Oryzias latipes: one gene and its partner. The protein of the gene in region 1 purifies or fractionates together with the protein of each later gene. This does not show direct contact. Links are inferred from orthologs where the notes say so. Each region holds a gene or a part of one and is shown in the gene's direction. Other genes may lie near its edges. The genes, in order: carbohydrate-responsive element-binding protein and mlx.

Region 1 (3,246 bases):
GCTGAAACATTGCTTGTCGTTTTTGTTGCAGCAATAATGTTAGGTTGGGTGTGTGAGGGGCTGTAAGCTAGTGGGAAAACAAGTAAACAAATGGATAATGGGAAGGGAGCCGCCCTAGCAGCATAATCATAATTAAAAGACCACTGGGAACACTTTGAAAATAGATCACAAGATGATCGGAGTGAGACTTTAACAATTTAGACTGATTGGAGGTAAAGAATAAGTTCTCAGATTGTTAAGCTTTGCATCCTCTGCTTCAGTCAGTCAAAATTGTGCTTTGCTTTGTTGACTCAGTTCTCTTCCTGCAGTGCCTGCCAGCAGCAGCTTCCAGCCACAGGTGTTCCCATCACACGGCAGCGCTTCGACTACATGAGGCAGAAGTTCAGAGAGTACATACGGGCCCAGACTCTGCAAAACTGGAAGTTCTGGATTGTATCCTATGGGTTTGAACATTCATAAGAGCATTTCTCTGTTTCCAACTTATAAAAAAATGACATGTGATTTGGTCTATAATCACATTTTTTTAATTAATCCTCTCTTCCAGCCCTAAGTGTGGATGGAGAGTTGTTATAGTTGTCTGCTGCTTAATCACTTTTCTTCAGAATTTAGAGGAATATCAAATCATCCTATGGCTCTGGGCCTTTAGCCTTGAATATAAATGAACCAATTAAACAAAATTTTATGCAACTTCTGGTAGATGGAAAGAAATGTTCTACTTTTTTCAGGTTTCTAATGAAATGGAAATTTGCATATCTGTGCTTTGAAGAGATCCAATCGTGTTTTTAATCTGAAGTTTTATTCTTAAATAAAAACATTGTTGAGTCTCAAGTTTAACAGCCAGATGTAGTCATATATGATGCAATAATAGCAATATTACTTTGTAAGTTTTGGCCTTTGTTTGCAAAACCTCAAGTTCATTGTGCAAAAAGTTTATAAAAATACCTAAAAGCAGTTATGCTAATTAAGATCTACGTAAAATAAAATTTCTGATTCAGGTTCCACTCCAATCATCTTTTGATCTATTGTAAAAAAAATCATTCCCAGTAGTCTTTTAATTATGATTATGCAATTCTTAGGCAAAAAAAAGCTGTGTTGTTTTCTAAGACATAGTTTGTGCAGAGCAGAAGACGTTTATCAGAAATCCCCCTCTGGGTTGTTTGAGACGTTTGTCTCAAAAGTAAGCCTCCACTGATATCCCATCATCACTTCTTTTGCACTTTCTCAAGCTAACATTAGCCCCTTCTCCAAGCTAACATTAGCTCTGCAACAAAAATGGGAAGCCATATTGGAGCTGTCTAGCCGTACAGTTTTGAGCCAGATGGCAGTTCAGATGAGGAAAACAAAGACTTCCTTGGATCTATGTGTTTATGAAGGGCAGGGAGCTTGTGGCTCACACAGCATATTTTCCAAGTCACAAATACCACCTTTTTATACCTGCATTTTTCGTCTGCTCCCGATCCACAAAAATTTGAATTAAAAAATGCTCAGAAATACAATTTCGAGCATAATTTTGTTTAAGTATGTCCTCCATCTTCAGAACAATGCCACAAGAACATGCCAAAAAACACTATTTTCATTGGAGTGGGTATTTAAAACACACAATTGAGTCTCTAGCAACTCGTGCTTTAATTTATTTTGGGTCATCTATGTTATCAATATGAAACTTCCTATTTTAGTCATGTCTCATCTTGGTGGTTCGTCACATCCTCCCTTAATTCAGTGCTCAGTTCAGCATCATCATTGAGCCCTTGTTTGAGTCTTACAATGGAATGGTGTCCACCGCCAGTGTTGAGGATCTGTGCCGGTCAACTCTGTCCTGGCTGGATCAGCATTGTTCCCTGCCCTCCCTGAGACCCAGTGAGTCTGTTGCAGCTACGACAATGATTAGAAGCCACATTTTTTTAACTGTTATTACTATTTGCTATTGAAATTTTTTATGTTAATGTTATTGGTTTTCCCTTTGTGACCTCAGTGGTTCTGAGTTCACTCCGCCTCCTGTGTACCACCACCGCCATTCTGACAGACCCAAGCCTACTGCCAGAACAGGCCACAGTCGCCGTCAGCCAGGGTGACCCCTCTGTCACCACTGACCACTCTCTACAACCTGCCCCCCCCAGCAGTGGAACACACCCATGCTGAAGCCTTGAAGACTGGGTGGAAGCTCATTCGAATAACCAGGATTTTATGGTCATAATTCTGATAAAATTCATCAACAAAAAGACTGAAGTTTAGTACATTATAATACTTGCTTAATTTATATGAATGGATATTTTTCATTCAAGAAATTCAATTTGCTTTTAGTCAGTGTTTTACATTATACTACAACCCAAGTTATTACAATCTTTTGGACTGATTATTTTTTTTAAATATTTTCCTTTTTAATCTAAGCAATGTGGGACATTTACAAATCTGTCATTTGGGTTTTTGTACTCCTAAGTGTTCATAAAGATGGTTCAGAACTTTTATACCAGCAAAATTAAGGGTGAAATATGTCAAACCTTGTAACTTTCTAAACAATTTATTGTATTTTGGCTTGCATTTTTTTTCTGCGGTAAAGTTTTTTTTTTTTTTTTTTTTCAGCACGCTTAAAATCCAGATTTGTATGAAATGATTAATTCATATAAACTGACGAAACAACGAGGAATCCCTCATGTTTCATTTTTTGTACGTGTGTCACTCTGATGTGGGTCTGCTGAGGGTCACCCTACGCTGTAAGCACTCCTCCTGGCGGACAGAGGGCGCTGTTGTGCTTGTGCGCTGTGGAAGCGCGGCGTTGGGGGTTTTGTTCCCAGAGCTCCTCGGTGCGCTGTCCACTTCAGCACCACGAACCGAGCGGATGCAGCGGGCCAGCTAACGCCGAAGAGAAGAGGGACCGAAAACACGGCTCCTCATCAGCTACGGGGCCCACCCCACTTCTAAATACAGCAAACCTGAAACCAGCGCTCGGAATCGACCATAAACGACGAACTCAGCGAGAGAAAAGACCACCGGAAAGGTAAGAGTTTCCGAAAAAAGCTTAGGCATCAAGTTTGAGCTTAACGGACATCCCCGAAGAAAAACACGCTCCGCGTCCGTTCCTGGTTCATAAATTCTGAATAGACACATTGAAGCGGTGTTTATGTCGCCTTTGTGTGACATACATTAGCCCTAAGGTTTGTCTGGCAGAGACAAAGAGGAACACTTTGGCTTCGTGGAGCGGGTCGGGACCGTGTTGTGGCCGGGCGGGCAGCCTTTGCTCGCCGTGCA
Region 2 (4,358 bases), on another chromosome or scaffold:
TTTTAGAGTTTAAACACTGAGAATAAACATAAAATTATTAAGATTTCAAACAATAACAAGCATCTTGGCAGGTGCAGAAATGCTGTACACAACCCAACACACAAGACTAAACATTAAAAGGTTATATTAGATCAAACTTCTTATTTATGTGATTCCAAATAACCTTCCTAACAACAGGTTTCTTGGACTGTAGTGTCTCTGCATTTGGTGAAAGTGTGAGTAACAAGAACCACTCACCAGGACCACATTGAAGCGTTCTTCCAGCTCCTCCTCCGGAGGCATGGGAAGTTTTGGGGGAGCCGACTGTTTCTTCTGCAAGACAAGTGCGGGATCACTCATTGCCGAAACCGAGATCCTGGCGTCCCGGCCGTCAGCAGGTTCTTGCTCCAAGCCCCCTGCCGCCGCATTCCCCATCACTAATCTCCAAAAGTAATCCAGGAGGAAAGCTTTACACAAACCCTTTCTCCGAGGAAAATTGGTGTATTCCAGAGCAGAGTGACAAAAAGTTGGTCACTCTAAATGACAAAAACAGGAAGGTCTAAGATGAATCAAGTCCTGTGCCTTTAAGGTGAAGAACATTTATTCTAAATTGCGTCCTGTCTTCAAGACAGGATAAGTGATGAAAAAAACGAGGGTTGTCTTCATGTTTGTCCGCTCAGAAACTTGTCTGTCTACATGAGCCAACAAGAACAAGACAATAGCCTTGTTAGGCCTGCGTGCTCTAAGAAAAGACGTACCCAACTCTCATGAACTATTTCTACACAGGTTGAAAACTTCTCTGAATAAGGCAGAGACGCCTCTGTATGAGAGGAAGGAGAGGGGAGTGTGAAACACAGACAGAAACCACAGAAGCAGAAAAGCAGAAGAGTAACTTCCTGTGTATGAGTGCAGCAGAACCTGAGGTGGAGGACAGGGTGGAAGATAAACTGCATCCGTTATTCGGATCACAAATATAAAAAGGTACATAACAAATAAACAACACATAGCAAAAGAAAAGAACTACATTGCTCATGGTAACCAGAAATAAAGACACAATTACAACATGCAAATGTACAAAATTAAACCAACAATAGAATTGTCTGCAGCTTATTAATCATTTAAAGCTAAATCTATAAACTGGAGCTGTTTATTCCACTCTAGCTTGAGACAGGTTTGTTTTGGAGGTCGCACGGGTCAAACAGCTAAAGTTGAATACTGGTTTTAAAACTGAGAAACAGCGACCTCCTGCGTTTAAAGATTATCACTGCATATAGCCGTGCAACATTTGAGATCAGTATGAAATTTTCGTTATGAATGATACTAACATTCACATTGTTGTGTATATAAATAGTTAAAGGAATAAATAAATATATGTGACAAATACTTGAAGTTTGAACAATAGGTGCCTACATTTTTACCAAAAATTACGTCAGTTACATATTACATCAAAAGGTAAAACATTTAAAAGTATCTTCTTACTAATTAATCACAGAAACAAAAAAACTACTTGTATACAAAACACATACATATATAAAGTATTTATATTTATAGTTAAAGTATTATTTAAATGTTGATGGTTTGAAATATGAACGCATCTCATTCCTAACAAAGCAGTTTAATTTACGAGTGACACGTGAATGCGACACCACTATTAGTTTTTTCAGCCTTCCAAAATGACGGATCCTACATCCCCAGAGGAACACTGGAAAGTAAGTCACTCTTATGAACCAGATTTTAACTTATCACAAACTTTACTTTTTTAAATAATTACTTGGTCTGTGTTGTTGGGGGCGGCAGTTATAACTGACTCGGCTGTCAAAACGCGGAAGTAAAGTGGAAACGGTGCTTTGATAATAGCCTCGCGGCTAACTAGCTTAGTGACGTTAAGCAACATTGAAGTGCTTAGCAAAGCAAGCTAGCTAAGTAAACAAAGCTACCGGAAAACTCGGGTTAATTCAGTTTTTAAAAAGTCTTCATGCACATGAAAAAAATACACTTGGGTCAGCAAAACCGTAGATATCTAAACAAAAGAACGGAGAGAGAGTCGGTTTCATTGTGTGTACAATGACGGTAGGAAAATGAAAATTTGGTTTCTGTCAAGATTTCATAACGAAGAAGTACTAGTAGTCTGCCTTTACATTTAAGCTAATGCATGTAGTTTGTTTTGTCAGGTTTGGTACCAGTGCCACTAAGTAAAATTTTAAGAGATATTTTTGATGTTAAAAAACCTTTGAATCTTGACTTTACAGTAGATTAATTGTATTTTTTTATATGTCAGCTTAACTTTGATGCTGAAAGTACCATTCAAGAGGGAGCCACTAGAAAATCACTAATTGTGAAGTTTACCTGTTCTTTTGTTGTTGTCCTAAATTTTAACTAAATTGCGATCGAACGAGTTGTGTTCTCCCTGCTTGAATGTGTTAAACCAGGACAATCCTCAGTGGGTGTTCTGGTCTTTGTAATCAAAGTATTTAGAACAGCACACTTTCTTTTCTTTTTTTGGTCTATAATGGTAAACCCACCGCTTTTTGTCCATTTCTCCTGCTTCTTTATGATGGCTGCGCAGACAGATGGTGCTTTCAGCGATGGTGGCTTTGACCAAAGTGAGTAGTTTTTGGGTTTTGTTTTTAAATCAAATCCTGCCTGTGAGAAAACAACTTTTTCGGATTGGTTTTCTTTTTGTTTATGTCTTATTTTTGTCATATTTCTAAACATTTATGCTTATATTTGCAGGTTTCTATATTGAAACAGCCAGAAAAGGAAGTGTGGTGTCCAGAGCAAACAGCATCGGGTCAACAAGTGCCTCTTCAGTACCAAATACTGGTAGCTTTAGAGTCTTTTAAATCGACATCCAGTCTGTTTTGATATCAATCAAAAGTTTTACTCTGTCATCATAAATGAAAATAATAGGAAATTACTTTATTGTTTTTCTTTTCAATCCACAATTGTGCTATCTACCCTTTTCTGGAAGACTAAATTCTTTGGTTAAAAGTATTTAATATACTTTTTCTTGGTGAGAAATGTTTATAAAAACATGCTAACATCCCAATAGAACCATGAGGCCACTTTGAGATTTGACTCTTGTATTTATTGAAATGCTTTTTATAATTTGATCGACAGCACAAAAACAGAGTCGGGTCACAATAGTTTAATTTATTCCAAAATAGATGATGAGGACAGCGACTACAGACACGAGACGTCGCTTAAAGACTCGTATAAAGACAGAAGGAGACAAGCGCACACACAAGCTGAGCAAAAGCGCAGAGATGCCATCAAGGTGAGACCGCAGAAGAATCGCGTCACTGTCTTTAAAATTCCAGATATCTGATCTCGTATATATTTCTTTACTTTTATTTCAGAAAGGTTATGATGATCTTCAGTCAATTGTTCCAACCTGTCAACAGCAGTCTGAGTTTGCCGTAGGAGCACAGAAGATCAGCAAAGCTACAATCCTGCAGAAAAGTAAGATTTACTCAAAACCTATTGAAATAGTGGGATGATAACATTTGTTCTTTTACATTTGTAAAAGTATTTATTCTTTTTATATTTGAAACACCTGTAATGCTAAAAGTGAGGTTATTTTCAGACAGTCAGGTAAATGTGAGATGGTAGTTTCCACTAAACACATTTAAAAACTGATAACACGATCTAGTTTCAGTTACCTTTATGGTCACAAAATAGATGCAAAAACCATAAAAAGCAGTATGAAGAAACTAACTGACAATGCTCTGATTCTTTTTTTTTTTTTTAGCTATTGACTACATTCATTTTCTTCATAAAGAAAAGAAGAAGCAAGAGGAGGAAGTCTCTGTCCTGAGGAAAGAAGTTATGGCACTTAAGATAATGAAAACGTGAGAGCAGCTTATAATGACATACCACCTTTTCCTACTTAAGTCTTCCTCATAGTTTGTCAACACTCTGCCTTTATTTGGATTAAAAATATAGTTGTTGTTTTTTTTGCATTAAGAGATTTTGATTTTTTTTAAGTTCTTGCCCCTTTTCTAATGTAAAGTTTTGTTGAAAAAAACATCATTTTTGTATCATAGTTTGTTTTTTCTTCTTCTCCAGGACCTTTTTAGCTTCAATAATCTAATAGAAACTGAAGTAAACTGTTAAATTCATAACTGCTGTCAACCTTTAGTGGTATAAATACTGTCTGTTTTGTTTTTTTGAAGGAACTATGAGCACATAGTAAAGGCTCATCAGAGCAATCCACAACAGGGAGAGGATCAGGTGTCTGACCAGGTCAAGTTTGACATCTTTCAGAGCATCATGGACTCCCTGTTTGTGTCCTTCAGCAACTCCGTCTCAGTCAGCAGCTTCGAAGAACTGTCTGCTTGTGTTTTTAGCTGGATTGAAGAGCACTGCAAACCACAGGT

The links.
Region 2: the proteins of carbohydrate-responsive element-binding protein (region 1) and mlx purify together in Homo sapiens (affinity purification with western blotting; 3 studies listed by BioGRID and IntAct, counting the BioPlex papers as one, with this or other methods). This does not show direct contact. The link is inferred for Oryzias latipes from reciprocal best matches to the Homo sapiens genes MLXIPL and MLX.

The regions. Positions count from the first base shown.
Region 1 is NC_019872.2:21,281,220-21,284,465, forward strand, and holds the end of carbohydrate-responsive element-binding protein, read left to right. Parts: intron 1-308; coding exon 309-432; intron 433-1,727; coding exon 1,728-1,857; intron 1,858-1,972; coding exon 1,973-2,139; 3' UTR 2,140-2,638; downstream 2,639-3,246. UniProt on the Homo sapiens protein: Binds DNA as a heterodimer with MLX/TCFL4 and activates transcription. Binds to the canonical E box sequence 5'-CACGTG-3'. Plays a role in transcriptional activation of glycolytic target genes. Involved in glucose-responsive gene regulation.
Region 2 is NC_019866.2:6,755,834-6,760,191, reverse strand, and holds the start of mlx (max-like protein X), read left to right. Parts: upstream 1-1,549; 5' UTR 1,550-1,652; coding exon 1,653-1,688; intron 1,689-1,738; exon of another isoform or gene 1,739-2,043; coding exon of another isoform or gene 2,044-2,049; intron 2,050-2,545; coding exon 2,546-2,582; intron 2,583-2,712; coding exon 2,713-2,802; intron 2,803-3,146; coding exon 3,147-3,256; intron 3,257-3,338; coding exon 3,339-3,441; intron 3,442-3,730; coding exon 3,731-3,830; intron 3,831-4,154; coding exon 4,155-4,356; intron 4,357-4,358. Other genes in the region: fmnl1 (formin-like protein 1), read right to left, coding at 238-414. UniProt on the Homo sapiens protein: Transcription regulator. Forms a sequence-specific DNA-binding protein complex with MAD1, MAD4, MNT, WBSCR14 and MLXIP which recognizes the core sequence 5'-CACGTG-3'. The TCFL4-MAD1, TCFL4-MAD4, TCFL4-WBSCR14 complexes are transcriptional repressors.